3 linked regions of the Arabidopsis thaliana genome follow. The protein of the gene in region 3 interacts with the protein of the main gene of each other region in a pairwise test. Each region holds a gene or a part of one and is shown on either strand. Other genes may lie near its edges.

Region 1 (10,992 bases), on a different chromosome or scaffold from region 3:
GTACTCCGTATTTATAGGCAAACGTTACATAGCCTGGCTCATTGGTGAACAAAATTGAGTTCCCACTCACACCACAACCATCAGGAAGCTCCTTAGCTGAGCAGCAGACATTTCCAAAGTGTCCAATAAACAACACACGGTCTCCCAAATCGATCACCTCAACCCATTGACCAGCCTCCTCATCTAGCCTACTCACTCTACATGCGAACCGACTCAAATCCAATACATCAGCTTCAGGAAATGGGTTGAACTTCTCAACCAGGAAAAGCTCATCACTGCCATTTGGAATCAGATACTTGCTCGAGCGCAGAGGCTCTGAGGGCATCAGGAGAGTCTGTTCCAACGAATAAGGATCGAAAACGTAAATGTCCCCGTTAAGAAAAGTTACATAAAATCTACCTCTAAAACTGACTAAACCCTTGCATGAAGCAATGGAGGTTTTCTTGACCTTCATCCACCTCATTTCAGAACTTCTCAACACCAACAAATGATTACGGTAGCGAAGAAGCACAACGAATTCGTCTCCTCCGTTCTTCTTTACCGGAAGAAAAGCAACGCCTACGTAACCATTTGCCAATGATTCAGGATCCCAACCGATCATTATGTATTGAAAGCCTAAAGGAATGATCTGGTAGTCAAGCATGTTCACCAAGAATGGATCAGATTGTGGGAACTTCACTTTCACAGAACATTGAAGAGGAGATGGAAGTTCCATATGATCATTTGACTGATCTTGGTCTATTCCTCCAAGAAAATACTCGGGTATATCAGCAGCAGGGTTTCGAGCTCTAAAGAGGAAGATTTGGATCTTCTTGAGTGTACACAAGTCTTTGCTTACTAATGGGAACTTAGCAAACGTGGGAAGAGAGTAACTTAGGGTTGATAAGCTAGAAGGAAAGGGAAATGCGGATCGCCACGAACGACAAATAGATCGAGCATGAACGACATCAAAACAGTTGTCTAGATTCTTGGAGATAAGGTTGAGTAGCTCTTCCGGGAGCTGAGACCAGTTTGGCATCATGGATAACAGAAACTGCTGCAATTTTCAAAAATCTGAATGTAAACGAACATAAATCTCATAACAATGAAGAGGTAAACATAAAGGTGACAATTTTGCAGAAATAATGTATAGAACCAAGAAGATTTCTCTAAGAACCCTAGACACAATTACTTACTGCAGTATTTAGCTGAAGAATCAGTTTGTTACAAGTAAACGGAAGTAACAAAGAAAATAAGTTTACCCTTTTTCGAATTCAAGGAACTAAGTTGGGAGATTGAGACTCTGAATTCTGAAATATCATTCAGGTTCGATTACAGTGATGAGAGGAGTTGAACACAGTAACATACTTGTGGTAATTGAAAGACTATGGCAATAAAACCAAGATGGTGATTTGTCGGAGAAGAAATAAATCGACCTCTACTTTCGAGTTTTGTATAGAAAAAACGATTTCTAGGGTTCTTCGGTGGATTTTGATTTTGGTAGATGCGTAGACAATGGAAAACACCGCCGTTTCTGGTAAATACTGGAGACCGACCCGCATTACAAACAATATTTCTGTTAAAAAATACTCACCCTTATTTTTATTTCTTTTTTTCCACAAAGATTGAATATCAATATTATTATTATTTTTATTGCTAATAAAAAACAAATTAATATTATTAAACTAACAAAACAATAATATTAAATTATTTTTTTTCCACAAAAATTGAATATCAATATTATTATTACTTTTATTGTTAATCAAAATTTTTTTTTAATATTATTAAACTAACAAAACAATAATATTAAAATGTAATAGTTGTTTTTCTTAATTTGTGTAAGAATCTCACAACATCAAATTTGCTGGAACAGAGGGACTAACAGAAACCCAAAAATATTTATCGTTTTTAATTTTAGTGTTAAAACTAAAAGTTGTATTTTTTTTTAATATTGTGTTTTGCTAGTATTTACGATTATATTTTTTCTTTGAATACTATTAATTTTAGAATTTAACATGTGGTATATTGTTTTGTATTAATATTGGTTAAATTCATTTCACCAAGATTCTGTTTCATAAAATAAAACATCATTTTTCATTTTTTCCCTTTAATAATATTTCATCAATTTAAAAGTTTCTTTTTAATGGTTTTCATAATATATACATTTTCAAGTATTATAGCCTAAACCCAAAAAGTTGTCCTTTTTATATTCATAGGTTCTCTAAATGAAATAAGATCTTCAATATTCAAAGACCATTCTTAAATTTTTTATATTCATAGATTCTCTTATTGAAATAAAATATTCAATATTCAAAGAACATTACAATCCTTAATTTGTTGCATTTATTACCATAACTACGTTTTGCATTTAATAATTACCAAAAATCATAAAACATTACAAATAAGTCAACTCATTCATGTAGTCAACAATATGGTTATTCAAATAGCTATAGTCTATAGTTACGTCTCTCAAAGGATTCTCAAAATGGCTTCTCTAATTTTTGCAACTCTCTTGTCCCTTTTGTTACTCTCAAACGTGAACGCCTATCCGAAAGATGGCTTCACCATTGATCTGATCCACCGCGATTCTCCCAAATCACCGTTCTACAATTCCGCCGAAACCTCTTCACAACGTATGAGAAATGCTATCCGCCGCTCCGCTCGCAGTACACTCCAATTCAGCAATGATGATGCTTCACCAAACTCACCACAATCTTTTATCACTTCCAACCGCGGTGAGTATCTCATGAACATATCCATCGGGACGCCCCCGGTCCCGATACTAGCGATTGCGGATACTGGCAGCGACTTGATTTGGACTCAATGCAATCCTTGCGAAGATTGTTACCAGCAGACATCTCCACTCTTTGATCCTAAAGAATCTTCCACATATAGAAAGGTTTCTTGCTCCTCAAGCCAATGTCGTGCCCTAGAAGATGCTTCTTGTTCCACAGATGAAAACACTTGTTCTTATACGATTACATACGGTGACAATTCATACACCAAAGGTGACGTTGCCGTTGACACCGTGACGATGGGATCTAGCGGTCGCCGCCCTGTGTCACTCAGAAACATGATCATTGGTTGCGGACACGAAAACACTGGAACCTTTGACCCGGCTGGCTCAGGGATCATCGGACTCGGAGGAGGATCTACATCGTTGGTCTCACAACTCAGGAAATCCATCAACGGTAAATTCTCCTATTGTTTAGTACCTTTCACCTCTGAAACCGGCCTAACGAGCAAGATCAACTTTGGAACAAACGGCATTGTCTCGGGCGATGGAGTTGTGTCCACCTCCATGGTCAAGAAAGATCCCGCCACATACTATTTCCTAAACCTAGAAGCCATTAGCGTGGGAAGCAAGAAAATTCAATTCACAAGCACAATCTTTGGGACCGGAGAAGGAAACATTGTTATCGACTCCGGTACCACTCTAACTCTATTGCCATCCAATTTTTACTATGAGCTTGAATCTGTCGTTGCTTCTACAATCAAAGCAGAGCGAGTGCAAGATCCCGATGGTATTCTGAGTCTTTGTTATAGAGACAGCTCTAGTTTTAAAGTTCCAGACATAACTGTTCATTTCAAAGGAGGTGATGTGAAACTCGGCAATTTGAATACGTTTGTGGCAGTGTCTGAAGATGTGTCTTGCTTTGCATTTGCTGCAAATGAACAACTAACCATTTTTGGAAACTTGGCGCAAATGAACTTCCTTGTTGGATACGACACTGTTTCTGGAACTGTGTCGTTTAAGAAAACGGATTGCTCTCAAATGTAGCTCACTAAACCTTCTTATTCTTATTATACTACCCAATTTATTTCTTAAGAATAGTGTATTTTTCTCCTGAAGTACATGCTACATACCTATAATAAAACTGGTCTTAAATTTTTAGTGTTTGTGTTAGCGTGTAGCGACTATGTTTGCATTATCATTTTTATTTAACGTTTACAAACACATATATCATGCATAGATGTTGAAGATTTAATACTTTTAGAATTTATATAGAGAAAGAGTTATTCGTGAGAAATAAAACAAATTCTAATAAAAATAGTAAAAATATGATAGTCTAAAAAAAAAAAAAGATTAGACTACTCAATTTGTAAGTCTAATTTCTTACGAGTGACCATGTTGATCTTTTATGTATCGTTTCAACTTATGATAGTTTTCGTATGGTGTTTAATGAAACAAATACATCCAAACTTTCAAATTTTCTGTATTTAAGGAATTCATAACTTCGCATCTATCTTTAGGCAAATGGTTTTAGGTGACCTCTGTTAGTTTATGTGCATAAAATTGGATTCCAAATTCTTCTAAAGTGAAATGGGTAGTGTGTGCCCTGACAAACTTGAAATAAGAATCTATATTCTCAAGACGCATCGATCATAGAATTTTAAAATCACACATCATGCAAATGTAAAGCATCCAAGAGTAGTAATTAGATGCTAAAACGAAGGAGACCAATAGAGTTGCATTAAGTGGTTTTACACTTTTACACAGTTTCTGCAATATGATTAAGTAAAACTTGTGTATCCTCTTCTACTATAATTTGTGTTTTTTGGTTGCCTTTGACTTGAGGTGTCATCTCGAATACTCTGTCTCTAGCTTTCGTTGCCTGAAACACAAACCAAAACCAGATTCAAAACTGTAACCGTAACTAGAAGTAAAATGATTAGTAATTTATATACCTCTTGTTCCCAATTGGTGAAGAAGGTGACAAGAGCAAAAACAATGAGTTGGATAGTGGAGGCTATGAGTATACCAATCCAAAGTCCTTTCCCTCTCAATTTCATGACAAAACACAAGAACCATCCTAACGGGATTCCGACAAGATAATATGATCCTAAGCTTGCATAACCTCCTATACGTTGCCACCCTGATCCTCTGGCAACCCCTGAAATATGAAAGAATTCTTGATTTGAACCTACTTTCTTGGGGTTCAAGAAACAAAGTATAATCGTCTTACCTGAGAGCACGGCGAGAAAGCTGTTAACGAAAATGGATAGGCAGAGAATGGGTGTGATTTGGGTTGCGTAGCGAACCACTTCTCTCTCGTTGCTGAATACATAACCCCAACTTTTTCGGTAACTGTAAAGTGTGATGGTTGTTATTAATGCACCAACACCACCAAGGAAAATGGCAGAATTAACCGCGGCTCGAGCTGCCCTATGATTTCCAGCTCCTAGCTCGTTTGAGACATGTGTGCTATAGTGTTAAACAGGATAAAATAGGTTAAGAGATACTATGTTACATGAAAAAATCAGATTCTTGTGAACAATTGAAATCTATAAAACCTTGCGGATGCTCCTATCGCATTCACCAGAACGAAATGCACAGCCGATGTTGTGAGGCTGTTCCATGAATAGAAGTTAGGAATATCACAAGCTTTTTGACTGTTTGAATTATTTTACAAAATGATATGTATGTACCAAATGGATATCACCGATGTTTCGAGCTTTGAGTTTGGTAAGAGTCCAGACATTAGTAGTAGAATCTCAAACGACCACCATTCCAGGCTTTACTTACACACAAAAAAAGAAAGAACAAAGAACAAAAAAAATTATGGATTCATTGTAGATCAGAGTCAGACCAAGAAGCTTTTAAATCTTGCTGAGATTTGTTTTTTTTGGATGTAGATATGTAAATTACCATATCATCATTGCAGAGGGGATCGCGAGGGCGATGAACTGCTTCATGCTCGAGATGAGTTCTTGCAAACCAAGATTCTTCATTTCACGATGCAAAGCAGAGTATCTCATGAAAATCCAAAGCAAAAATACGTTGAGCCAATATGAAAAACCGATGGACAAAGCGGCGCCAACTATTCCAAATTTCAGTTTATAGACAAGAAGCCAACAGAAAGGAATGTGAAAACAAAGAGCTCCAAGAGAGCTCACGAAGAGAGGAAGAGTTATTCCTTGTGACTGGAAATACCGAGTCATAGGTTGAAGAAGAGTGAATCCGAATAAAGCCGGTATGAGCCAGATTGAGTATCTGCAAGCTAATTGAGAGATGAGAGGATCTTGATGGAAAATCTCCAAGAGCTTGTCCATGAAAAACCATACGATAGAGATTGAAAAACAGAAAACGAGAAGACAGAGCATTGAGCTGTAAGTGTATGCACCAATTTTTCCAAATTGTTCTGCTCCAAAAGCTTGACCGCAAAGAGTGTCTAACGCACCTGCAAACCCAACGATGAGGCTGAAACCAGTGACATTGGTGAGGGAAGTGGCAATTGCGACAGCTGAGAGCGAGAGCTCGTCCAAATGACCAGCCATAACCATGGAGATGACTTGAAGGAGGAATTGAGAAACCGAAACTGCCACCATTGGAGCCGCCATGGAGCTCACCTTCTTCATCATCTCCATTGACAAATAACTCATCCCATTCCTGTTATCTTCTTCTTCTTCCTCCTCCTTACGCACCAACGAGAAATCCGTTTCCATCATTCAGTTTTTCAGCAAAAACTCGTTGGATCAAAACATCTTTAGAATCTTTCAAGACAAAGAAATAATTTAAACAAATACCACTGAAGTCGTCTCCATTATAATTACCAGTGACCGGGTTAGTTGTCAATGATAGAGAATCAAACAAATATCTAAAATATTTCTATATGACAAGATTTCTAAAATATTTTACACCCAAATTGCAAAATACACTATATGACAAGATTTCTAATGTCTCCTACGAGGAAAGATCCTAGCTAGCCAGCTCATTTTATTTTCAGCTTCTTTATCCTAACAAAGGAGTTCTACTTTGAACATTTCCAAGGACTTATGCGACCATGTCGGCTTCCTGTGAATCAGGAACAATGATGTCAAGCCTCATCATGGCCTTATAGCGTTGAGGAACCCGAGCTCCACTGTGCATACAAATCTCAACCAAAGCAGGGGCTTTACCATAAAACCTTCTGAGGTTTCCGGTAAGCGGATTTCCCTTAAGGTCTCTCACATGCCATACATAGTTTGGAGGAAAGACTTCGTCCACAAGAGCATCTTGCCATCCGTGCTTCCCATCTCTCCATTGGTGCTTGAACTCTCCGCACAGCTTTACACTATGTCCCCATGGTCCTACATGCACTTCAGAACAATATCCGCATGCTTTCACTGTGAATTTCCTCATTAATTTCGTCACCCCCAATCTCACTTTCTCATAAGCATCCATTGTTTCCTGTGCTATCTTAGGTATATCCTCTGGAGTGGGAGGTGGATACCTTTCAAAAACACCAAGAGTATCAAGCTCGGCTAATGGAGATGATAATGATGATGATGTCTGAGGCTTTTCAGGCTCTTTATGATATCCACCTCGATCGATCACTCTCTTCCCCATCATTCTGATTGGCTGTGTCCTTCTGCGACAAGGATACTCAGGGATCTCAACTCCAGCTTGAATACATAGCTCAACAAGTGCTGGGATTCTTTCATACTCAAACCGTGTTTCATGCTTAATCCGCCGCCCGAAAGGGTCATACATGTGGTACGACTCAACAGGAATAAGAACATCGTTAATGGTACCCTTAACCCAAGAATGAGAACCACGTCGCTGTGAATTCGTTGGACCATTACAATCCCTAATGTTATGACCAACATTAGCCACATGAACCGCTCCACATTCACTACAAGCAAAGACGGGAACAACATGAAGAAGCTGTGCTAAACCCTTGATCAACAACTTCCAGTTATCTATCACTTGATCAGCCACAGGAACAAGATTGGGAACTAGCAATCCATTTTTAGGAGGATCCAACTGTTTCTCTATACCCATCTGAGCAAGTTTCTTATCTTTCCTAGCCTCTTCTTGGATTTGCTTAAAAGGAATAGGATAAGGTTTCTTCTTGTTCTTTGGTAAAATAGGAGGAAGATCCACATTCTGCGTAGATACATACCGTTTCTTAAAACTTGTCTGCTCTCTATGCTTCTGATTAAAACAAAAGACCGTTCCTAACCTCATCAAACACTCTCTTTTAGGGATTGAAGTAGGAATCTACATAAAAGAAGAAAAATCCAAACTTTACAACTTCAAGATAGGAATCAACAAGATCAAAGTTACAGGAGATGAAATGGTTACCTGAAAGCAAAGTGCATAAGAGGCTCTAGCTGAGAAATCAATTGGCTTTGGATCTATGGTCTGAAGATAAACACCTCTACAAGCAGGAGAAACCAGAAGCATGTTGACTATATAAGTAAGAACCCAAATCAGAATTAAGCCAAAAACGATTACTTTCCCAGATTCCTGCAACATTTAAGAAAATAGATGAGGATTTGATAACGATTACATGGTTTCGTAATTTCATCGAACATGGGGTGTGCATATATACAAGAACACAGAGAACTAGAGAAGTTATACACTGAAGAGAAGTGAGAAATCTTCGGCCCATGAAATGGATTCCACGATACTTCGTTGTTCGTCGGTGAACTGGAGTTTTAAGAGAACACGCAATCAGCTCAGACCGTGTAGTACGGTGAATTTAACTCCTTGTCCGCTGGTTTTAATGTGAGTTGGATTTTATTATGACACCTTTGCTGCTTTGCACAACAACAAAAATATATATTATTATTTTTATGACACCAAAATATAATTTAACGATTAACTATTATTTTCTATAACTAAATAAGAACGAATTTGTCAAATGGTAGGTAAAAGTTAAAAAGTAATAACTTTAATAGATTATATTTTTTTGGTCGTAACTTTAATAGAATTTAGGATCATATTCCTTTTGAAATAGATTTAAATAAATTTTAGTTTTGATTTTGATTTTGTTCTTTCAATATTTGTATATTACGAAACATAATATTTTTCCCGTAATATGTATTTCTCTTTTATTTATGTGAACTAATTTATCATCCTAAATCTAAAATTACAACCTTCAATATGTTTTATTTATAAATTAGATGTTCATATAGAAAATAACATGTTAAGAAAAGAAAAACTTGTGAAATGTGAAATCTTCCAAAATTTAGTTAAGTTATATCGTTGATTTATACTTATTTGTTTCCAAAATTTTGGCATGAGCTTTTAAATTATCTTGAGTTAATTTTTGGCTCAGTCTTTTATCCAAACTTTGTTAACAATCTTTGTTTTTAGCCTTGAATTGGTCAAAACATTCAGGATTTTCAACTTTTCACAGCACATTGTTCCAGTTATGGATAAGATAACATCAATTTTTCTTATCAAACAGTTACATGAACTTTGTTAATACTGGGTCTTGTGTTGAAGTTGAGGTCAGAAAATATATGATTCCAAACAGTGGTTGTGTGTCGATGATCAAACATGGAATCTTCATGCATGCCATCAGTGAAACGTTTTTGCTTAGTTTTGTCATGTCCTGGAGGGAGGCCACAAAGCTTGGCGAGTGACGAAGTTGAATCGTAAAGGAAATGTTAACGTCGACATGTATACTAATGCAAAATTCATTTTATTTTCTTTGCAGAAAGAAATGTTGCTCCTCTATCCCTTACTTTTCCGTCGTATCTAAATAACCAAACACTACTCCGTTCCTTCTACTCTCTTTTACATCTCAACAAACACATTATTATCAACACAAAAACAAAAATGAAAAATGTTTGGTCCTAGACTCTCAATGCAATTTGAAGTACATGGCTAACAAATATTTCAATCTAATCCAAAATAGAAGTCCAAATGCATTCAAAAGCCTCAAACTCCAACCTATAATTACTAACCCTTTTCACTGGCCATCTCACATCACTAATCTCTTCAAACATCTCATTACCATCATCTAAGACCGGAAACATAGATTCCGGTAGACTCCAATCAAGTGAGGTTGAGATCATACTCTCCTTCATCCACGGGAACTCAAAAACTCCCAAACTCTCTTCATTACTCCCACTTCTCTTCTCTTCCATCTTGTTTTCTACATTGTTGGCTCTCACATGTTGTCTTTTCTTGCTCTTCTTAGTATGCTCGTCATTTTTCTTGCGTTTGTGGCTTGTAGACGAACCCTCCATCGATAAAGAAACGTGAGATGATGAGATTTGGAGTGAATTGAGAATTAAATTTATAAATGGCCAATGATGAAAAAGTGGGAGGGGAGGAGAGGGAGTCACGCCTTCTTACCCGTATGTATCTGTCATTTAGCATTTTAAAAGCAAACCAACCAAATCCTTTTGTGTTGTTTTCGTGTTTTCCTTCTTTTACGTTCTCATTTCTCTCTCTCCCAACCACACAAGCAAATTATAAAACGTATTGAGATATATATCAAGGATGAGGTGGACATTAAGAAACAAATGGCTATTTTTAGTTTCTTTAATTTCACTCACTGCCCTTCAAACACTGATCTTCACTTATGATAACTAAATGGAAATAGAACACAAATTATTCTTAGTTAATATGACAATTAAGTATCTTAAAACCAATTTATGTTGTTCTAAACCCTTGTTAAAAATAATAATGAGTTGTGTCGTATACTATAACGATTGTGAGTTTCAATCATGAAAAGACAATAAAGGAAGAAAACTTCTATGCTTGAAATTCACATAATTGCCATACATTTTTTATAATAATTTAATCGTTTTATGCGGTTTTATGACCTAAAGATATAGTTTCACTTCTAGTATTGTCGTGTGTCTTACGTCTTTACATGTCGAGAACGTGGAAAATGCAAAAAAAGAAGAAGCAAAACAGCGCATTGGACATGTACTTAAGAGATTTGACATTTGTTGAAGTACCAAATTGAATGATCTTTTTTTTTTGAAACATTGATAATTGAATGTCAAATCTCTTAAGTATAAAAGACATGTCAATTTGGCGGCAAACTTGTGCAAAGGAAGAAGTTGGCCTAAAAGATTGATTTTGGGTCGCCCTCATCTAACCTCATCTGTGGTTGACCTCAGCACACACCCACATGGTCGACCACCAAGGTAACTTCATAAATCATAACCAAGCCTGTTGTACAAGCTAAAATCTTAATTGAGAACCGTGCTACGAGCGACTGCAATAATTGTCTAGACTATGACATAGCGGTTTAGATATGTCACAGTTTTTACCACTTTTGA
Region 2 (10,871 bases), on a different chromosome or scaffold from region 3:
TATTTATCATACCATTTTGGGTACAACGGTCTTGAACTCAACAATCTCACGCAACTCAATGGCGGAAAGTGTTCGACAAGCCCCAAAATCAATGTCCCTAATAACAGCCATATGCATAAGTTTTAAGTAATATGAGTCAAACAAAATAAAATAGCATAAGGTTGGAATTAATACCCAGACATGCCATATAAGCGATTTATCTTGTTCTTACGGCTAACATCATGCCCAAAAGTAACAGACCTACCGCTTGTGGAAGAGGCTATTACGGATTCATGTTGGAGCTGTGAGCAACGTAAACGTGATTAGAAAATCAGATGTTATCTTAATAATCAGGAAATTAGAGTTTGCATAATCCTAAACATTCTGTGTTAAACTTAATGGCATGTAATTTGTTCTAAAACCTTGATGTTTGTACGGGCAAAACACTTACAATATGACAAAACTTTTTAAATATTTTTTTGTTATATTAGGTAAAACCCTGAACCATGCTGAAAATACATGATGTATCGCAAAATATAACCGTGTGCATATTAAACCAGTGTTTTGTTTTTAAAAACCATGAATAAGTAAACTTGACCTACCACAAAACTACGAAATCCATATTTAACAATATCTTAACCATTCATGCACCCAAACTAGACCTAACACAAAACTATGAAATCCATATTTAACACTAGCTAAACGCATTTATGCAACCTTGCCATCAGGGTCCACAATATCATTTGTTGGGGCTGGCAGGGACGGTTCAGATATCATCGGCATTTGGCTTAAATTGGCCTAAAATAAGAAACAGTTGCATGTAATTAGTTTGTTAGTGGTAACGAGAGTAAAAAATAATGAATTATATGATCTAACATTATCGGCTGTAGCAGGTGGGTCAGCAAGTCCTTCTCCATCTTTATCTGAAGCACCGTCATCAACCATTGGCCCGGGGGTTGACTTACATTGGGCAGTCAAATCAGACTCTATCTGCAAGGCAAACAACAGACGTTAGAGCCAATACACGGAAAAAAAAAAACATAAAAACTATATGAGAAGGTTTGAACTCACTATGCATGGGATGGTGTACTGCAACTCTGGCTGACCTACATTGTATGCAACACCATCCATGTCAACAAGCACCACATATGGATCAGGGAGGCTGGGCTCAGATTCAAAGAACTCATTGACGTCTGTGGGAGGAGGAAGCAAACACTGAGTATGACTCGCTGCAGCTGGAATAGGTTTATCAGGGCTAGTTTGGATATCATCAAGGCCCTCTCAACCTATCCCATCACCGGGGGCATCAACCAAGATATTATCTTGATGGGATACAGTTTTATCACCAGAAACAGACTTTTCCGCAAACATATCGTCTAATTCTTTAGCCGGCAGAGTGGAAGAGCCAATGTCATGAATCCCATCTCTAGCTGACTCATCCTCAGTGGTATCAGTCACCACCCCTCCAACTTTGTTGATATTGACAGCTTCAGGGGATACATGTTTATCAGCAGAAACAGACTTTTCAGCTGAACTGTTGTCTACTGCTGGCGTCAGGATGGTGGCTGCTGTTGGGCCATTGTTGCCTCTCTTCCGTTTCTGTTTGTTATGAAAACAATACTTGAATTAGGAAGAACTCTCATAAAATACAGAATATTTACAAAACTGTTAAACGTATACCAGAGAACTACGCAATCCAGGCCTAGTCGGTGGGGATAAGCGACCTATGGGGGTTGTAGTCTGTGTAGGTTCTGCGTCGTTAATATCATGCATCACTTCACCTAAGACTTGATCAATAAATCCAGAACCACTGTTCTCCTTCGACTGGGCTACCCTGCCATTATCCAAAACAACAAGGGAGGATCCCTTCTTCCCACCTAATCCCTCACCCACATCTCTTGACTTAGGACCACTGTGACGCTTATTCTTCCTGCCATGGCTTTCCCTCAACAAGCTGCTCAATCTAGCCTCTGAATCAGCTATAGCCTTCAACATACGCGACTCCATACGCTTGTCTTTCATGTCAATGTAATTTTTAATCGAATCTGGTATGTGAACCTGCCCTTTAGTTTTACGGGGTTTAGAAGAGCCAGGCAAGGAAGCATCAGGTTGTATGGTATCCTCATCAACACAATCATAAGTGCTACATACATCACTGTTGTCATTCCTTTCATCGGGTAGCGAATCAGGGACAACACCACCTGAAAACATGGACCCCTTGAATATGTGCTCCTCTTTTATTAGTTGCAACATGTAGTCAACAGATAGATCTTCTTCGTCCTCGACCCAACCTGACTTGAAAGCGTCACCAGTCGGTGTTCCACTCCAAATAGAAACGACTTTAATCTGAAAAACAAAGAGTTAGACTTTAGCCACATGATATTATGTTTTATTACATGTACTAAAAGTATTTATACTGTTACTAACAGTGAAATATAGATTATGTACCCATGTGCTCCTTAAAAACAACATGTTATTTCATCATATAACCAGATGTTGTAATGCATACCGCCATACGTGACTTACTAAGGTAACAGGGTATGGTTATTAAAAAGAACTGTGATCATATTTAAAACCATGCAGTTTTTGCATAAATCATGATATAAATAATAAATAGTAAATCAGCACATATTAAAAAAAAACTTAACCACATGCTACACATTTACAGCCATGTTATGATTATTCTAAAGAAACTGTGATCAGATTTAAAACCATACAATTTATACAGAAATCATGATATAAATAACAAATAGTAAATCAACACATATTAAAAACCTAAGCCACATGCTACACGTTTACACAGAATGATATGAATCTATAATTGTATGTTTTTGATAGGAAAAGAAGAGGTTTTCATGATAAAAACGAGCATATGAAAATTAATTTACGAGAGCAGAGATGCATTGCTCACCTGAGACTGCCGGTCGACTTTCCAAACAAGATCCAACTTCAAACTCCATAAGCGCTCAATTTCCGTATCTGTTTCCTCCATTTCTGAGTCACTATCTTCAACGGCTTCAGGGAATTGCAATTCTCTGATTCGAGGAACACTTTGCAGTAGCAAAAGTTGGAGTGCGTGTGGGAAACCTTGAACGGTGATAGATTTCCGCATAAGTTTATCAGCTCCCCTTGCAGTAACACTCTTCAACGTCATTAGGAATGACATAGTCCCCCAAGGAAAATTTAGAAACATGTCTAAATTTTCTGCCATGTCCGCATGGACCGGAGAGATTTTACTTCTACCCGAGGTTGGGCATAAAACGCCATCAATCAAGGCCAGCACAGCGTAACGTAAACGAATTCCTTGATCTTGAACCACTCGCTTCTTCAGCCTGCCAACAACCCACTCAACAGATACATCACTGCGGTCAAATAGGCTGTACCAATACTTGCCAGGCGCCAATTTTCGTTTCCCTTTCCTCTCTTTCATACGAGGCGGTTTGTCGCAGTTCAAACCGGTAACATTTTGAAACTCAGAAATGGAAAACCGAACAGGGGATCCAGAGAAAATTACCCAAATTTCTTGTTTCTTCCTAACAACAAGCTGCCTCGTTAGCAAAAAGTGAATAAGCTTCCCAGAATACGCGGCGCTTTCGGAGAAATCAAATAATTTCCCAAACTGAGATTCCCGGAGAATTTTCATGTCCTCCGCATCTAACGCGTTAGCGATGTCATCTATCAAAGACAGTTCACTGTAGGACTGCACTCTCTCACCGTTGGGCTCGGATCCAGACCTAAACAATCGACGGGGTAAAGAGTTGTTCATCATCTACAAGTCGAACCCTTTTCTGCACAAAATAGAAGTTTATAAATCAGAAACAGTATGTACCTAAGATTTCAGTTAATCGGAATATAGATTGGAGAAATAAAGAAGTTGATGGCGATCGAGAACGTTGAATAGCTTAAACCGCATATATTTGTGAAATTACCTGTAGCCCGATGGAATTGATTGCCTAACTGCGAGATTGAATCTAAAGAAACGATATGTATGAGAAACAATATAGATTTGAAATAGATATTCGGAGAGTTTGCAGAATCTATGGGTAGAGAACGGAAGACGTTTCCTCTCGGAAAACCAGCAAATGAAGCGGCGCTAGGTTTTTTTTTGGAGCTCCTGATATTTCAAAAAATTCGATAATAAATCGATTTCTCGAAATTAAAATCTATATCGTTTGCGTCCACATACAGCATTGCTCTTACCAAGGTTTTCAAAATTCAAATTTCTGCAATCATACGCCTATACACCTATATGTCCCCTAACCAAGAACACAGTTATAGGGGGTTGCGGGTAATTTCAGATACGTCTCCGACAGACACTATAGACTCATAGTTAGTTTCTATATTATTATTGATTTCATGGTCATCTAGTGCATATACCCTTCTTTTAAATTAACCAGGTGAATCCAATCCAAAATCTAAACTAATCCCTTTAACAAAAAAAAAAAAAAATCTATACTGAACCCAAATTCCATAGAAATCTAGATTTTGTTGCTACTATAAAAATCTACTGGTGAACAAAGATAATTGAAATTACAATGAAAGGGCTAGAAAAGTCTGCCAACAATACTATTTATTTGCTTATCTTTTCTTTAACAATACATACTAGTTATCCTAAAACGACGAACAAACATCATTTAGAATTTAAAATCAAACACAAATATTTTAAAATATTCATTTTCTCGGAAGAGTACGAAGATTGTTTAATCGAAGATAATATTTAATGAAATTAATTTCTCAAAACGAGAAATTCTTATTTCCATTTTTAAAAGTTATTCTATGTATTATTCATATCATGCTTATGCATCTTGGGTCCAATCTTGATTTGTACAACGGCGTTTCGAGATCATCGTTAGCCATTTCCTCTTTTAGACGACGTAGTCATCATGAGGGAGATGTTCTGTACCGTTGAGATACTCCAACACTTTCTTCATCATTGGCCTATCTTCTGGAGATCGTCTCACGCAGAGAAGTCCTGTTTTCAGAACCAATAACACTTCTTCAGAGACTAAATTCTTTTTCTTGATTCTTTTGTCGCATCTCCTTAAGAGATTTCCGCTCTTGACCCCTCGAAGCACCCAGTTCACTAAACTGATCTCTACCGGTTCCTTTGTCGGCTCTATGGCTCTCCTTCCACAAACAATCTCCATGATTAACACTCCAAATTCAAACACATCTGTGGCACATGTAGCCTTTCCCGTGTTGACTAGTTCTGGTGCAACGTGTCCCGTAGTGCTGTGTCTGCTTCCATGTCCATAGTCTCCTAGTCGAGCGTTTAGCTCTCCGTCCAAAAGAACGTTACTTGCTTTGACATTTCCGTGTATGAGAGGTTTTTGAACCTCAGCGTGAAGATGTTGAAGTGCTGACGCAATACCCTTTATAATACAAAACCGGTGTACCCATTTGAGAACTGGTAGGTCGTTGCTGAACAAGAACCGGTCTAGGCTTCTATTGATAACATACTCGTAAACAAGATAGATCTCGTTTCCTTTGCTGCAGTAACCATGTAGATCAACAAGATTTCTTTGTTTTACCTTGGAGATTGCATCGATCTCGGCTATTAGGGCTGTCTTTTCTTGCCTTGTGTTGCAAGTAATTCTCTTTACGGCAATTATCTCTGTAGGAGCAAGTTGCCCTTTATAAAAACTCCCAGAGTTTCCCTCTCCCAAAAGCTTAGAGTTGTCAAAACCTCCCGTCGCGCTGGAAATCGTCTGGTGGGAGAATTTCCGTGCGCCTCCGGTGAAGTTTTCCGTTCTACGAAAAAAGCAAACCGCTAAGAAGCTTAAGATCAAGATTCCAAATATTGCTGATGCAGCAATGATTATGATCAGCATCGTGTTACTCGAATTTTTCATGACTGAAACCGGAGGACTCGGGGATGGAGACAATGGAGGTAGCGGGTCTGGAAGAGAGGGAAGCTTCGTGATATCAAAGTCTGATGCTTTCCCCTCGATGCTGAAGCTCCAGCCTAGCACAAAATGTGAGCTCGTGACAGTTCCCGTGGCTGCAGAGAATCCAACATAATTTTCTTCAGAGATGATCCCAGAAAGATTTAGTTTTCTAGAGAGAAGAGGCAACTTTGGCTTCGGACGATCTAGAGGAGCCAATGTGACATTGAGCATCGTCTCAGTTGCGTTGTATTCGATCCAGACTCTTATTGGTTTCCCACTCGCCAGCCTCAAACTTATGTTCTTTGCCTCTCGGTCATCAAAATATTCAGCGGAGGTAGACTCAATGGAGATCACTCCGTTGAGGTCTATACCAACATGGTTATCATCAATATCGTTCAACTCAACGGCCTGCACAGTGTCGAATTCAACTGCAAGAATGCAATTCAAGGAGTTTCCATTGTTGGAGGTATTGAATAGGCCTAGATAATTGCTTGGTAAGGCCCCGCTAAAGTCCAGCGAGGGTGAAATGACAAAAGCTAAGCCGTGGCCTGGTGCGCCAGGTCCTGGAGTGATGGCAAAGACGAAGCTTGTGGGGAAAGATACCAAATTTGAGGAGTTGGGGTTTAAGAATGGTATGGGAAAGCCATGAAAAGCTTGACCTATTTGCCTCATCGAAGTGTTTGTCAACTCCAAGTGGCCACTCGGGTGGATCTTGGACGAGCCAGACTTGAGGAGATTAGCTTCCAGAAAGCCATGGTTAAGAAATTTGGTTTGTTGTTGACTTGAGACACAAGAAAAGTATAGTAGGAAGATTATTGATACAGCTATCGATTTATAGGTATTAGCCATTGATAGTTTTCAGATTTTGATGTTAGCTATGTTCAATGCTATCTTTTTATAGCTTCAAAGAGCTCAAGACACATTCATATTCAAATTTTTTGTTTATGCTGACAAGTTAAACAAACTTAGTTGAAGATTTGACTTTCTATATAAACTGCTAAACAAACCCTTTTTTTTTTTGCAAACCTTTATATTAGTATCCTTGAAAAATTCTTTCGAACTTTCCTCCACAATTTCTTCCTAATAAAATTGATTGCAAAATAAACAAGAAAATGGTTACATATTTTCTGTATAATTTAAATGTGATTACAAAGTCATAATGGATCAAAAATTATTGAACAAAAAAAACGTCATCTTTTAGCTAGCCTTTAGGGTGAATCACCTTTTTTTTTGTTACACATATAATTTTGACTGCCTAACGATCGACGTTTATCCACTATGACTATGTGATACAAACAAATAGAAAGGTTTCTCTTGAGTCTTGTAATTGTGCAATTATTTGTATTAGGAAGAAATTGTGGAGGAAACTTGCAATAATTATCAACTATATGTCGCATAAAAGGCGTTGCTATGTTAGGCTTTTAGCCACTATATATCCAATATAAAAATAAAAAATGGATGAACAATTGAACATTCCTTGAAATTAAAGTGTTAACTTTAAATATGAATATTTATAATAAAAAAATATCCTAACTTTTTTTTATTATTATTATAAAGACATACGTTGTCAAACTAAGAAATTCAATTTGTAAACGAAGAAGAAGAATACTTGACCATTCAAATCTTAGTCTTGTTCTCACTGAAAACTTGTACAAAAATAAATAATTACAAAATCTAGAGAAGTTTTCATGCAAAATTGTATATGTAGATGTAGTCAGATAGAGTTCCATATATTCTATAAACGAAGAAATCACAACAATACAATGTACAAATTAACATCATTAGATTAGAGTCAAAGAATTTTTAAAAATATATCAACTTTCTGAGAAGAGTACAAAGATTGTTTACGAACGAAGAATTCTCAAAACATAAAATAATTAGTTTCCATTTTACAAAAATGATCTTAGGTAATCTGCTTATATTGGTTAAAGTATTTCTATTTTCTAACCAAAACTTAGGCAATTTATTTTGTCACCAACATACAATATTATATTAACAATCTATATATTACTAATCTATATGTTTTTTTCTTTTTGGTCTAAGGTAAACTTTGTGATTTAATTGTAGTATTGTACCTCTTCAATAGATACTCCGTACTCGCATGTATTAATAGAGCATCACATTTATCGACTTCTCTATGGTTAGTTTATGCATCTACTAAGTTTTTTATGGACTTTTGTTTTTGTTGTTCATTTATCGAAATAAAGCAAAAAACTGCAACGATCCAGTTAATCCGCAAAAATTAATGAATTAGAGTTTTTTTTTTTTCTCTTCTTCTTGTTGCATTTTCTCCTTTTTTTTTCTATTTTTTCTAATGATATTAACTAATATCTTCCCTACTAAAATATTGAAATGCTTTATTTTATTTTTTAAATAAAGAAATTGATTATGATTTTTTTTTTGTTACAGTTTATAAATGTGTCTAATAATTTATGGATATTTTATAAAGTTTATAAGATATATATACAGTAATTTAAAATTTGCCGCAATGATGACGTCGTCATCGTCACTAAACCAATCAGAACCATGCTTCGCATAAAGGTGACTCTGACTCATTTGAAAAGCTGAAACATAAACTCTGCTCTGCATAAATGGTGCTTGACATGGCTTCTCACTTGTACACAAATCCACCTCAAAACCTTCACTTTATTTCTTCTTCTTCTTCCCTTAAACCTCATTTATGCCTCTCTTTCAAACGCATAAACCCTAAACACAAATCCTCTTCCTCTTCCGTCTTCGTCCCTTACGCATCACAGAGTTCCATTGCCATTACCTCCAAGGAAAGATGGTCTCTCAATGGAATGTCTGCTCTTGTCACCGGCGGCACTCGTGGAATTGGGTTTGTCTCTCTTCACAACAAGTGTGAACCTTTATCAAACGCAAATTCTCAGAGTAGTGTGTGTTACTGTTTAAATTCTCAGGCGTGCGATTGTGGAGGAATTGGCTGGTCTTGGAGCAGAAGTTCACACTTGCGCTCGGAATGAGTACGAGCTGGAGAATTGTTTGAGTGATTGGAACCGTTCTGGTTTTCGAGTTGCTGGATCCGTTTGCGATGTCTCTGATCGATCTCAGAGAGAGGCTTTGATGGAGACCGTGTCATCTGTGTTTGAAGGGAAGCTTCATATCCTTGTAAGGTTTAATGCCATTGCTTAGAGATAATGCACATAAAGTGTTTGTTAATTTGTCTGTGAGAACAATTGTAAATAAATAACTTTACTTTCTTGTGTAATTATGATGCTTTTAGGTAAACAATGTTGGGACGAACATTAGGAAACCAATGGTAGAGTTTACTGCTGGAGAATTTTCGACTCTGATGTCTACGAATTTCGAATCGGTTTTCCATTTATGTCAACTTGCTTATCCATTGCTTAGAGAATCTAAAGCTGGAAGTGTTGTGTTCATCTCTTCTGTTTCTGGTTTTGTTTCCCTCAAGAATATGTCGGTCCAATCTTCAACCAAAGGTAGGTATTTGTTCTTATGCAGCATTCATTCATTTATTCAGGTTTTACCAAGATGTATTAGATTCTTTAACGAGCAGGCGATGGATAAACTTTGGTTCTTTTCGTTGGCCTTTGTGTTTTAGGAGCAATTAATCAACTTACGAGAAGTCTGGCTTGCGAGTGGGCCAAAGACAATATAAGGATCAATGCTGTTGCCCCGTGGTATATCAAAACATCTATGGTGGAGCAAGTATGGGTTTAAAAGCCTTATTATCTATTATGCGGTTAAATATAAGCTCTTGAGGCTGAAAATCAAAATGAGAAAGACTAAGCTAATTTGTGTGTTCCTTGTTTAAGATGGGGTTGTTTAATGGTTCTCGTCTTTTGGTCTCAGGTCCTTAGCAACAAAGAGTACCTAGAAGAAGTCTACTCAGTAACTCCTCTTGGTCGACTTGGCGAACCGAGAGAGGTGTCTTCTGCAGTGGCTTTTTTATGCCTACCTGCATCATCATATATTACAGGGCAGATTCTTTGTGTTGATGGTGGAATGTCAATAAACGGTTTCTTCCCACGACATGATTAGGCCACTCTATTGTTTTACTAGTTTCCTTGGGATCCTTTTTGTTTTATCTTTAGCATGTCTCCTTTCTCCCGTGAAAGACAGTTCATCGATATGAGATGAGAATTGAAGTTGTGCTACTAAGTCTACTGTTAATGAAAAGGATAATTTAGCATCAGACAGCGTGATTCAGTTTCCCTTGTCTTTTACTGATTATCTTGATTGTGCATGTGGGGGAAAATTGCTGAGGAACCTTTTCATGTTATGACTTTTATGAAAACAAAAACTTTATGTTTCTTGAGTTAGTATTCATTAGCTTGTATTCTGTGTCATCCTTTCTCGGTTTTGGCTTTCATTGTGTCTTGAACCTGCACTCATATCCAACAAACAATGGTTGAGGAAGAGAGAAGCTGCATAGAATAAACGAGGAACCTTTAATGAATTACCGCCACCTGTGTCTCGGGTCACTCTTCTTCTGCCCTTGTATTTACAGCACATTAAGCTCTGCTTTTGGTTAATATCGCTTTGTCTCTGTGTTTAATAATGTTTTTGGTTCGATGTATATATACAGGTAAGCAATGCAGGAAAGTGTATAGCCAAACCGACCACAAAATATGCAGTAGAAGATTTCTCGTTGCTGATGGCTACAAATCTGGAGTCAGCTTTCCATCTCTCACAGCTCGCCAATCCTTTGTTGAAAGCTTCAGGTTCAGGGAGCATTGTCCTTACGTCCTCTGTTGATGGGGTTGTCCATCTGAGAGTCGGATCCATCTATGGAGCAACCGAAGCTACCGTATATATGTCTACATCCTTAAAACAATGTTCCCTTGCGTTATGATGCTTTCGTAACATATAGATGCGTTTCAGGAGCCATGAATCAACTGGCTAGAAACTTAGCTTGCAAATGGGCGAGTGACAACATAAGGGCGCTCTGTTTGTCCTTGGTTCATTAAAACTCCTTTAACTAATAATGTACGGCGAAAAGTAAAAAGTCTCCTTATTATT
Region 3 (10,800 bases):
GGCAAGGTCTTCCAAATACCATCTATCAATTCTCAAAAAGAAATGTTATATGAAAACAATTCAAGCTTTATAGTTTATACCCATTGATCTCGGAGTTCAACAGATATATCTATTATCTTTAAAAGTGTTTTAAACTAATTTGGGGTTGTGATGAGGTTTATTAATGTTGGAATTAGATGGAGATGTGAAAGAAAGTTGAGAGAGTTTTGAGTATTATGGTGATAGATGTTGATATGCAAATGTAGACAAACAATGGTGTCCCACTTAAATTCGAGTGTCCTTAAGAATAAAATCACAAAGTCTCAACAAAACAACACAAACCCAACTGTAAGTCACATTCACAAACCCTAATCTAGACCCTCATGTTCCCTTTTGCTTTAATATTTTACTTATCAATCTAAAGAGACTACTACTACGTTACAAATTTACACTGATCATTATCCTTTGCACTAATCTTAAATAAGAAAAACCTTCTTCTAAATTCTATCCGGGCGAGTTCCAATAATACCGTGGATGACCGAACCATAATTTAAAATTTGGCATCATTACTTAAAGATCATTACGCTTAGTAATAGTATTTTTCTTTGTAGCTGAGGTTAGGATTTTTACATGTTAAATGTAAAATTTTGCGTTTAGCCATTAAAATAATTTGGGTTTAATAAGAAAAATACTCTACTTGTTTCATCAAATATTATTCGTAAATTGTAAAACCAAATACAAAACACAAAACAAAATGTTGCATAAGATTAAAAAAAAAATCAATTTGATGCTATTTTTCGGTTAAAAAATGAATACTTGTAACAACGACAAAAAGTAAGAGGTATTAAGAAAAAACATAATAGCAAAATAACTCGTTCTTTAGACCATCCTTATTGATGGGTTCTTAGATCAAATCTTCACATTTTTGATCTACCAAATAATAATTTAAAATTAGAGGGTTCTTAGTAAGATGAGAGAAAGTATAAAAAAAACTCTTAATTAAGAGCCAATTTTACTTTCTAAGAACTTTTTTTAATATTTTTATTCTTATTTTGTTTTATATAATTTTTTAAGAGATTTTATAAACTTTTTAAGAAACCATTGATAATGATGCTTTTACTGATCAAGTTTTCTGTAGTAACCAATAGAAACCACAAGTATACACAAAGGAATTTTTAGAGCCCCCTTTGAACACTAGAACCAATCAATAAAACAAAACCTCTTACTACATTGAACCAATCCAGCTAATGATCTGTTATTGGCTGTCTCGTAAGAACTTACCCTCTTTTGGTATGTAATTTTTTAATTTTAACTATTTCTTGTCGTTTGTGGTGTTTTTCTTATTGTACTTGTTTGTCCGATTCAATTAGCGTAAGAGTAAAAACCTATCCATTTCTTTGGTACCGTCCTTTATATTCTCTTTTCATCATTCTTCACCATTCAAGTTTCAACCTTTTGCTCACAAAAAATTTAAAAGTAATTTCATATTTTCATCTTTATCATTTTGTTGGACAAAAGAAAAAGTCGAATAGTATCCGATGTGAGATTTACATGTCACATAACCATTACCTCTTGGCAGTCCCATTCAATCGATAACTTGTAATTTGTTTTTTGTAAGCCTAGAAACCATAGACCTATGAAATAATTGAGTACTAGTTGCTCATATAATTTGTACAATACACAATACACAACAAAATAAATGGTCATATCCGCAAATATCAAAACAATATTTTCTTTAGTAAAATAACAAAGTAAAATGTCTCCTCGACTCCTCCAATTGCTTATAAATTGAGGTGATCCCTTATTTCATTATTTCAATAAATTCCACCAACGTCACTCTTTCTCTTCTCCCAAAAGCCTCAACCAAACATTTTCCCTCCCAAATCTCTAGAATAATAACTTCAAAAAATCACACTCTTATCTCCATAATTACACTAAACCTACTCTTCTCTCCTCATTTAACCACAAACCCACTTCTCAATTTCTCTAATTCTCTACCCAATTTTTTTTTTTATTCAAAGGGAAAAGAAACAGAGTAAGAAAATGAAAATGAGTGATTATTGGACAACAATGGCTTCTCTACTTGGCATGTTAGCCTTTTGTCAAACAATCGTCCAACTCGTGTTTCCGCCTGAACTCCGACTAGCTTTCCTCCACTTCTTGACACGTATCCGCCACGTGTTCTCTTCTCACATCTACTTCGACATAACGGAGATTGACGGCGTCAACACCAACGAGCTCTACAACGCCGTTCAGCTTTACCTCAGCTCTTCCGTCACCGTCAACGACGCAGTTTCTAGCAGCAACAACAACACACGTCTCAGCTTGACACGTGTTCCTAACTCAAGCTCCGTTACTTTCGGCCTCTCCAACAACGACAGAATCACCGACGTATTTAACGGCGTCACTATCCTCTGGGAACACGTCGTTGTACAACGTCAAGTACAGAGCTTTTCGTGGAGACCAATGCCGGAAGAGAAACGAGGGTTTACGTTACAGATCAACAAAAGAGACAAAGCCCTTGTCCTAGATTCTTACCTTGATTACATTGTCGGAAAATCAGAGGAGATTCGTCGGAGAAACGAGGAGAGACTGCTTTACACGAACTCAAGAGGTGTTTCGCTCGACGCGAGGAGCCATCCATGGGATTCTGTAAGATTCAAGCATCCAAGCACGTTCGATACTCTGGCTATGGATCCTGAGAAGAAGAAGCGAATCATGGAGGATCTAAGGGAGTTTGCGAACGGACAAGGGTTTTATCAGAAAACGGGAAGAGCTTGGAAACGAGGTTACTTGTTGTATGGACCACCTGGAACTGGCAAATCGAGTTTGATTGCTGCAATGGCGAATTACCTTGGTTACGATATTTACGATCTTGAACTCACTGAGGTTCAGAACAACTCTGAATTGAGGAAGCTGTTGATGAAGACTAGCTCTAAGTCTATCATTGTCATCGAAGACATTGATTGTTCTATCAGTTTGACGAAACGAGGAAAGAACAAAAAGAAGAATGGGAGCTATGAATATGATCCAGGTTTGACAAACGGGTCGGGTTTGGAGGAACCGGGAAGCTCGGTGACTCTGTCGGGGCTATTGAACTTCACAGATGGGCTTTGGTCTTGTTGTGGGAGTGAGAAGATATTTGTGTTCACGACAAATCATATAGAGAAGTTAGATTCTGCTCTGATGAGAAGTGGGAGGATGGATATGCATGTTCACATGGGTTTTTGTAAGTTTCCGGCTTTGAAGATTCTGTTGAAGAATTATCTGAGGCTTGAGGAAGAAGATATGGATAGTGTTGTTTTGAAGGAGATGGAAGAATGTGTGGAGGAAGCAGAGATTACTCCGGCTGATGTTAGTGAAGTGTTGATTAGGAATAGGAGTGATGCGGAGAAGGCGGTGAGGGAGATTGTGAGTGTGTTGAAGGAGAGAGTTGTGAAGAGAAGGAAGAGTGTTGGATTGAAGAAGAAGAAACAGGAAGGTCAAGAAGAAGAAGAAGAAGCAGAGGAAGAACAAGAGAAGAGAGCTTTGGATAGTCCTAATAGAAGAAACAGAGAGGTTTGTGGGTTTCGAGAGGAGGAAGAAGAAGAAGATGAGAAGGAGAAGTGAATGATAAGAGACTGTTTATCCTAGGATCATCATCTAATGGTGGTTCTTGTGTGTTTTTAATTATCCGTTTTGTTTAGTCAAAATTATTATAATATATGATTAGTTACCATATAATATAACGTTATCCATTTTGGTTTACTCTTAAGTCAAAAGTAGGCACTGTCCAAAGTTAACCTTCTGAGATTTGCTACATGAGAGTTGAGACTAAACTGGCTTTTGTATCTACTAATGCTGCAGAAATTGCCACTTTGTTGTTGTATATGTTGTCTCAAATTTTCGTGTCGGTTACGTTTGTTTTGAAGAGATAAAAGAGAATTGGCGTTTGGACTTTGGGTGTTGTAAATTGGTTAGTGTCACACCCTTTTTTATACAGGTTATATGTGAAACCTGTAAATTTCAAAATTTATAGTTCAAGAAAACAATTTACTCGAGAAGTGACATTTAAAGAATCATCACATCAAACACTTGACTTCAAACTAGAAGTGACCTGAAAAATCCATCCGTTCTTTTTTTTTTTCTAAATATAATATTGACCGCTGATTTTTGACATATTGTAGTAGTGAAGCCCAATCCTACCCAAAGAGATTTGCATCAGAAAAAAGTTGTTTTATATTATGGGCCCAATCTTTTTGATCAAAAAAAATATATATATATATTATGGGCCCAATCTCTAGAATCTACCACCGGTTAATGTCTAAATAAGAACAAAAACAGGTCTTGGTAACTAATTAAAACTGAAAACACCAAAATCAAGGTTGGGATTTGTTGAAGAAGGTGGTATTTCACCATATCACAACAACTAATTAATTAAATTTATTTAACAAAACATGTCTCTCCAAAACTGAAAACACCAAAACATGTTTTCATTTTATGAATTTCAATTTAACTAGTTAAAATTTTGATATCACATGCGCTACACATGCCACCTCAATTTGTCCTGCTCCTACTGTCTATTACTAAACTAAAAGTTAAAATTAGCGTTGAGTTTTTATTGAATTTATTTACTCATTAGCATTTGACTTGTATAGAGAGTATTAAAATAAAGAATAATAATAATAATATAATGCGGTTGGCGAACAATTGATGTTGCGGCAAACCGGTAGGCCCAACAACAACACGGACATTCTTGATGTTTTTCTTTGACAAGCGGTAATCTCCTGCAGCTAAGACCATCTTACTTTAAATTATTTCCCAATTACAATAAAACACGTGTGAAATATGGTCAATTTAGTTCAGAGAGGCCTCTTTATTAAAATCTTCCATTAACGTTTAAAGTGAAGAAAGCAAAGAAATATCGAAGAATTTAAGGAATAAAAAATAAAAACAGAAAGCTGGAGGAAGAAAAAATAAAAATTCCTTCTTTCCTCCTGAAGGCAAAAAAGGAAGAGAAGAGAAGAGAAGAGAAGGAAGCAGAATCTAATTTTGGATTATAATCGGAGAGAGAATCTATTCCGACGAATCTTTTCGGGTTGATTTTTTGGTCTTTAATTTGAAGGGTTTAGGTGTGGTTTCGAAGATGATGGTAGCGAATAGTTTCGATCTATGGCAAAAGGATGTTTTTTTCTCTGCAGCTGAGGAGGTTCAAGAATCTGCTGATATGTATGTGTTTTTTGATTCTCTGTTTGTTTAATTGACTCATGTTGCTTGTGATGGTGGAATTCGGAATTTCAATTGAAAAATAGGGTATTTCGATTGTTTAGGGGACTAATTGGCTCTAGAATGGTCTAAGTGAGAACCTTTGTGTTTTGTGAAGGAATTGAGTTATCAAATTTGAAATTTTGTTTCTTATTTGTGTTGTATTTCCAGAATGGAATCTGCGTATAGGTTGTGGTTTAAAGAGAAGAGAGACGGTCGAGTATCCGTAGAATCAGACGAGCTCTGCAAAGAACTCCAAGCTGCTTTGAGCACTGCTAAATGGCAGGTATGAAACAATCAATGGTCCTTTGATCATTCCCTTTTTTTTTCATGGTTACTCATGAGTGTGTTAGTGATATTGGTTATATTGTTGTGACTTGAATCAGTTGGAAGAGTTTGAGAGGGCAGTGAGCTTAAGCCATGGAAATTGTCGAGATGACACTACCTTAACTAGGCATAAACAGTTTGTTACCGCTATTGAAAACCAGATTTATCAAGTGGAATCTACTCTGCTAGAGTCGTTAAGCGAGAATGGGAAACAACCTTTGCGTTGGGTGGATCTTAACAAAGAAGAGCGTGATGATCTCGCCATGTTTCTATCTGGATCTTCTCAGACGTCAGAGAGTTTAAACAGTGATAGCATCAACTTGAGAGATTCCTCAACGAGTTCTGTAGCTGAGAATCCACGTGGGATCAATGGCAGAAGAGAGGGTAGATGTTATGGCGACAGTCCTGATTGTGTGATAGACATTGACGACATAGGAAGTCCGGAAAGTGCAGATAAAAAAGGCGGTACAAGAAGAACATGGAGTTCACCAAATGTACCAAATATCAGTGCGTTGAGGATTAATGTCCCTGTTAATGCAAAAGAAGAAGAGAGGGAGAAGTTCCTATCACATATTGAAGACACTCCTAAAGAGAAAGGAGCTAAACCTATGTTTTGGCTGCAGAGATGTCGTGATTATAACCAGGTAAGCTTCTGCAGTTTGGATCATCTCTACACTATTAGAAAGGATCATAAGTCTTAGTTGTTTATCATTTTGCAGCTCTTTGACAGAGTCAAGGTTTATCAAAGACGATTTCGCGTTCCATTGAGCCGCCCTATTAAGCTCATTCTTTCCTTAACGCTAATCTTGATTCTTCTATGTGAGTCCTTCTCTTGGTTCTCATGAGTTATGTCACACCACTGTTCCATGACAGTCTCTACTCTCTATAACTGAATCAAATTCCTTGTTTATACCCTTGCAGTATTCATCTTGAGAACTTAAAACCGCGGTTTCAGAAACTCTCAAGAAACATTGACAGGTAAATGATATTTTAGATTCTAAATCAGAACTCCAAGTTTTCTAAAACAATCTTTAAACATTACATCCTTTTCGTGTATCTTGCAGGTTTTTTCACAGATTCTTGCGTATTGGGTTACACACTCGTTAGATGCTACATGATTCAACATCCTTCGAGGGAAGGAGGAGAGATTAAAAGACTTTGTCAAGATTCAAATGAAGGACAAAGCCTGATTTATTACTCTCTCTTAATCCTCAGGGAACATATAGGAACCTGTAAATTTGTAAGATCAATTTGTAAAACTTGAAGCTACGACGTTTCGTTAAACTTTAGACGTGTACCTAAAGGAAACCAATGCGTGTTTGTGCTCAATGATATCTCCAGTGTTTGTTTGTCTCTCAGATATTTGTTTTGGAACAAAACATTCTTTGTCCTCTTTCACTTACTTGGCAAGTCATTTGTTCCAATCATTGTCTTACTTTCTTTTAAAATGCGCATTATAGTTGACGTCTCAATTTCTTTCATCACTAATAGTGTCACAGCCCAAAAGTACCAATTTAGGTCAATTCTAAGCTAAGTAAAAAATCTTAATATTAGGTCGTATCATATAGACATATGATAATGGTGAAAAAGATTTATGAAGAAAGAAAAATGTCTAATAATTTTCGAATCTAGAAGTCTCTGGACAAAAGAAAGGTGCATGTCACAGTCTCTCAAGATGGAATTTGATCATACCATTTATCAACCATGAACTTCGAAGCACAGATAAATGCTAAAAAATGATACAACTTCCTGTCTAAATCATTAAAAATCGACTAGTCCCATTGGGAAAAGTAAGGTAATAAATTTTTCTCATATCCTTCTCGTGCTTCTTTTGATCATCATTCATTCCTCACCTAACCAATTCAATTTCAAAAACAATTTTATTAAAATATATATTGAAATATTCTAAATGAGCTGAAATACAAAATAACGAAAAAATCAAAGAAAAAGAAAAAGGTGTGAATAAGATGTGTTATGGTCCAAACTATTATCGATTCACCAAATAAATTACAATTTCGACATTCTTTCACAAAATAAATTAACAATATCGATATTTCTTATACTAAATGACGATCCTATCCTTCTTAATCAACGGCAGAGCAAGTAACCGCGCACAATGTTCGTAGGAATAATATAGTAATTTATGGATGAGGAACCCAAAACGGCGCCGTAGCAGCCACGCTTGTGGGCTTCTTGCAACTTAAAGCGTTGAGAAACCTCCAAGAAGGTGACGGTGATGGCGACCGAGATCCACGAGCTCTCCTGTTAGCAGGAGATGGAAACATAACCGGTGGAATATTCCGGCGAATCTGACGGCTCTTTATATCCTTGAGTTCGATCTCCGGCGGAAACTTAACCATTCCAAACATGATCACATACCATCTTGGCCTTACACTTTTTACACTTCCCGAAGACGTTGTTTCAGGCTTCCCCGTGTTTTTAGTCGATGAACTATTTTCCGGTGGAGAATGTACGGTGGTTAGACCACGTGAAAGCTTACGATAATCTAAAGAGCGGCTTGCCCTCATAGGTCCCGCATTGTCACGACGTGCCACGGTACAACTACCGGGACGGTTAAGCTTATGGCCTTGTATCGCGGATAAGGACTCAGACCGTGAACGGATTCGACGGCTAATGTGCTCAGGAGGTGAAAAGAAAGCATTTTGGTAGTTTAAAGGGATGAGTTTCCCGCCAAAGATTATATTTTCTGCCGGAGCTACGTCGTAGGAGGATGAGGTTAGAAACTCAAAAAGTTCCGTTGACGGTTCTTTGTGGTCTTCGGTGGTGGTGGGATTAGGATTCTTGGCTTTGAGGGGAAGATCTCGGAGAGATAGTGCGTCTTCTTTTTCTTCTTCTAGGTGATGTTGAAATGGTTTTGGGAGTTTAGTAGGGTTTTGGAGATTAGTGTTTTTTGTAGTTTCCATGTTTTTTAGGGAGAGAGAGAGAGAAGACAATGAAGATATTGAAAGTATTAATTTTTGTCACCATATATATACATGGTCTCTAGAGGGGTCAAATACTTTTACAGAACTTAAAGTGGAAACTATTTTGTTTTACGGGTTAGAATTCTTTAGGTGTATTTATATACATGCATATATTTGTAGATTGTTGACCATCCGAAGTTTCCGTTTGCCAAATTTCTCATGATTTAATTATTTCAGGTCGATATATGACATATTATGTTGGTAATAACAATAATACAATTTTAATGACAAGAAAGATAGCAAATCTTACTTATTATTTATTATTTAACCACACAAAGTGTCTATTAATATTAACTAACTCTAGTTTTCATATATAGTTTTAACGACAAGAAAGATAAGACAAGTAACTCTAGTCTTCATATATAGCATTGATCATTTATTCATGAATCTTTCCGATTTTTCAGCTTAGAAAATTTAGTTATTCAAAAGCATGGTCAAGAATGATAGAGATAGAATTATTCAAACACAAATTAATAATGTTTGAAAATTTGAGATTTACATTTCTTCATGATGTAAAACTTTGATTGAAATGCCTATATTTTTTAAATTCTTTGTCAAAGACTATATGTTTATACATATGTACATAAATGTACCACGATCACACAAATTTGCATAGATTTGTACACCCAACCGGTAAAATAAAAAGACTGTGCAAAAAGCTAACTGATGGTATTGTATAAAATATAGATTCGACATGTCACCACTTCTATATAAATATATATAAGAATTAGCGAAACACAATCTAAAAATGTTTAGACAATTTTCTTTAGGTATATTTTCGAAGGAGCAAGTTTACACACAAACAAACTGTATGAAGCATATTGATTGTGAAAAAAGATAGTCGAGACTAATTCAGAAGAAGACTAAGACATTGTGACAAAAGTATAAAAAATAAGTGCTGAGGTATGAATTGTTGCGCGTAACTGAGGTCAGCTGAGAAAATGACTTTCGCCTGGCTGCTAACATTTCGTTTCGGACCTTTCGGTTATTACAAACATTAAAACGATGATTATAATTATATTCTAGACTATAGTTTTTGATATTTTCAACTATCCAATTATAGTTTAGGTATATTAAATCGAGGAAGTGGAAGTGTAGTGATTAAAGAAACTCAATTGTTAGAGAAAAAAAAACTAAAGGAATTAGAGCCACAATTACAAACTATCCACTTTGTTTTTTCGTTTTCAACGTACATCAACTTACGCTGCAAGGCACAAGTCATAAGTAGGTTATTCATATACATTGCTTGACTACAAAGTTTGATTTGTTTTCCCTTTTTATAACAATTTCATATGGTGCGATGTTACTATTTTGCCTTTAAACGCAAAAAAGTAAGATGATTCACATCTATAGCAGTTCACTTCAAATGTTTTTTTGTTCAAAAAATAAAAATCATGATGTAGATAACCTTTTCTATTAGCATGCTGATTTTATAAGCGTTTTCTTTATCATAGTAAACATATAATGACGTGAAAAAAAAAGTAAACATATAATGACTTGTAAAAAAAATAAAAATGAAAAGACCTCAAAAATGAAAAATACTTTGCACTAGATGATGGATGACCTCAACAGATGAGTGGTTCACGTTCACCTAATTCTTTGGTCATATATGTGATGCCAATCGTTTTAGTTTTGATGTAATAATTATAGAATTCTAATGGAATTATATATAATCTAAACTAATAATTGGATGGTCAAAGAGTAGAAAGCCGGCTAATTGTTTTAAAGGCAAGCTGACAAAATTTGATCATTGTGTAAAGATGAATGCAATATAATGGACTTTTGTTCTCGAGAAACCATTCTTCTTGCCGGTTTTATGTCATTAGGTTGGAATGCATGTCGTTTTTGTCATGTATTATTTGTTTTCACTTTTATGGAGATTTCACAAAGCAAGCCAGTTGAACCAATAATGGGCCTTATGAGATATTTTCGCAGGCCCATTATCTTCTGTACAGCAACGAATAAACCCAGCCAAAAACCCTAAATCGAGAGAAACCACAAGCGTATCGATATTTGTTCTCCCAGATCTTCGTTTCGTCTCTTCGTTCTCAAACTCATGGCGGTAAGTTTCGATTTTTTCGTCTTCTGATTCTAAGTTCGAGCTTAGATTAGTTAATTCCTTTCTTTATTGAGCTCAAAATTAGAATTTTATCTGTTAAGTAGTTTTAGGGATTGCGAAATTCGATGGCCTGAGCTCTTCTTTCAGCTCCAATCTCGTCGATTTATCTGATTACAAGTAAAAGATTGGAGTATCTGCGAATCTGAA

The links.
Region 1: the proteins of AT4G30240 (region 3) and AT1G64820 interact in a protein complementation assay, tested with the Arabidopsis thaliana proteins (one large-scale study listed by BioGRID).
Region 2: the proteins of AT4G30240 (region 3) and AT2G29250 interact in a protein complementation assay, tested with the Arabidopsis thaliana proteins (one large-scale study listed by BioGRID).

The regions. Positions count from the first base shown.
Region 1 is NC_003070.9:24,084,039-24,095,030, reverse strand, and holds AT1G64820 (MATE efflux family protein), read right to left. Parts: upstream 6,427-10,992; coding exon 5,630-6,426; intron 5,497-5,629; coding exon 5,410-5,496; intron 5,332-5,409; coding exon 5,275-5,331; intron 5,186-5,274; coding exon 4,947-5,185; intron 4,875-4,946; coding exon 4,669-4,874; intron 4,596-4,668; coding exon 4,473-4,595; downstream 1-4,472. Other genes in the region: AT1G64840 (LOW protein: F-box/kelch-repeat protein (DUF295)), read right to left, coding at 1-1,021; AT1G64830 (Eukaryotic aspartyl protease family protein), read left to right, coding at 2,465-3,760; APO1 (APO RNA-binding protein (DUF794)), read right to left, coding at 6,755-7,963, 8,048-8,221; AT1G64800 (DNA binding / transcription factor), read right to left, coding at 9,598-9,945.
Region 2 is NC_003071.7:12,574,065-12,584,935, forward strand, and holds AT2G29250 (Concanavalin A-like lectin protein kinase family protein), read right to left. Parts: upstream 6,717-10,871; coding exon 4,845-6,716; downstream 1-4,844. Other genes in the region: AT2G29260 (NAD(P)-binding Rossmann-fold superfamily protein), read left to right, coding at 8,459-8,706, 8,789-8,996, 9,112-9,328, 9,451-9,557, 9,702-9,890; AT2G29263 (uncharacterized protein), read right to left, coding at 10,179-10,364.
Region 3 is NC_003075.7:14,804,050-14,814,849, reverse strand, and holds AT4G30240 (Syntaxin/t-SNARE family protein), read left to right. Parts: upstream 1-4,774; 5' UTR 4,775-5,104; coding exon 5,105-5,187; intron 5,188-5,394; coding exon 5,395-5,509; intron 5,510-5,609; coding exon 5,610-6,194; intron 6,195-6,269; coding exon 6,270-6,369; intron 6,370-6,471; coding exon 6,472-6,491; 3' UTR 6,492-6,528; intron 6,529-6,614; 3' UTR 6,615-6,961; downstream 6,962-10,800. Other genes in the region: AT4G30250 (P-loop containing nucleoside triphosphate hydrolases superfamily protein), read left to right, coding at 2,023-3,588; AT4G30230 (uncharacterized protein), read right to left, coding at 7,692-8,474; RUXF (small nuclear ribonucleoprotein F), read left to right, coding at 10,591-10,596.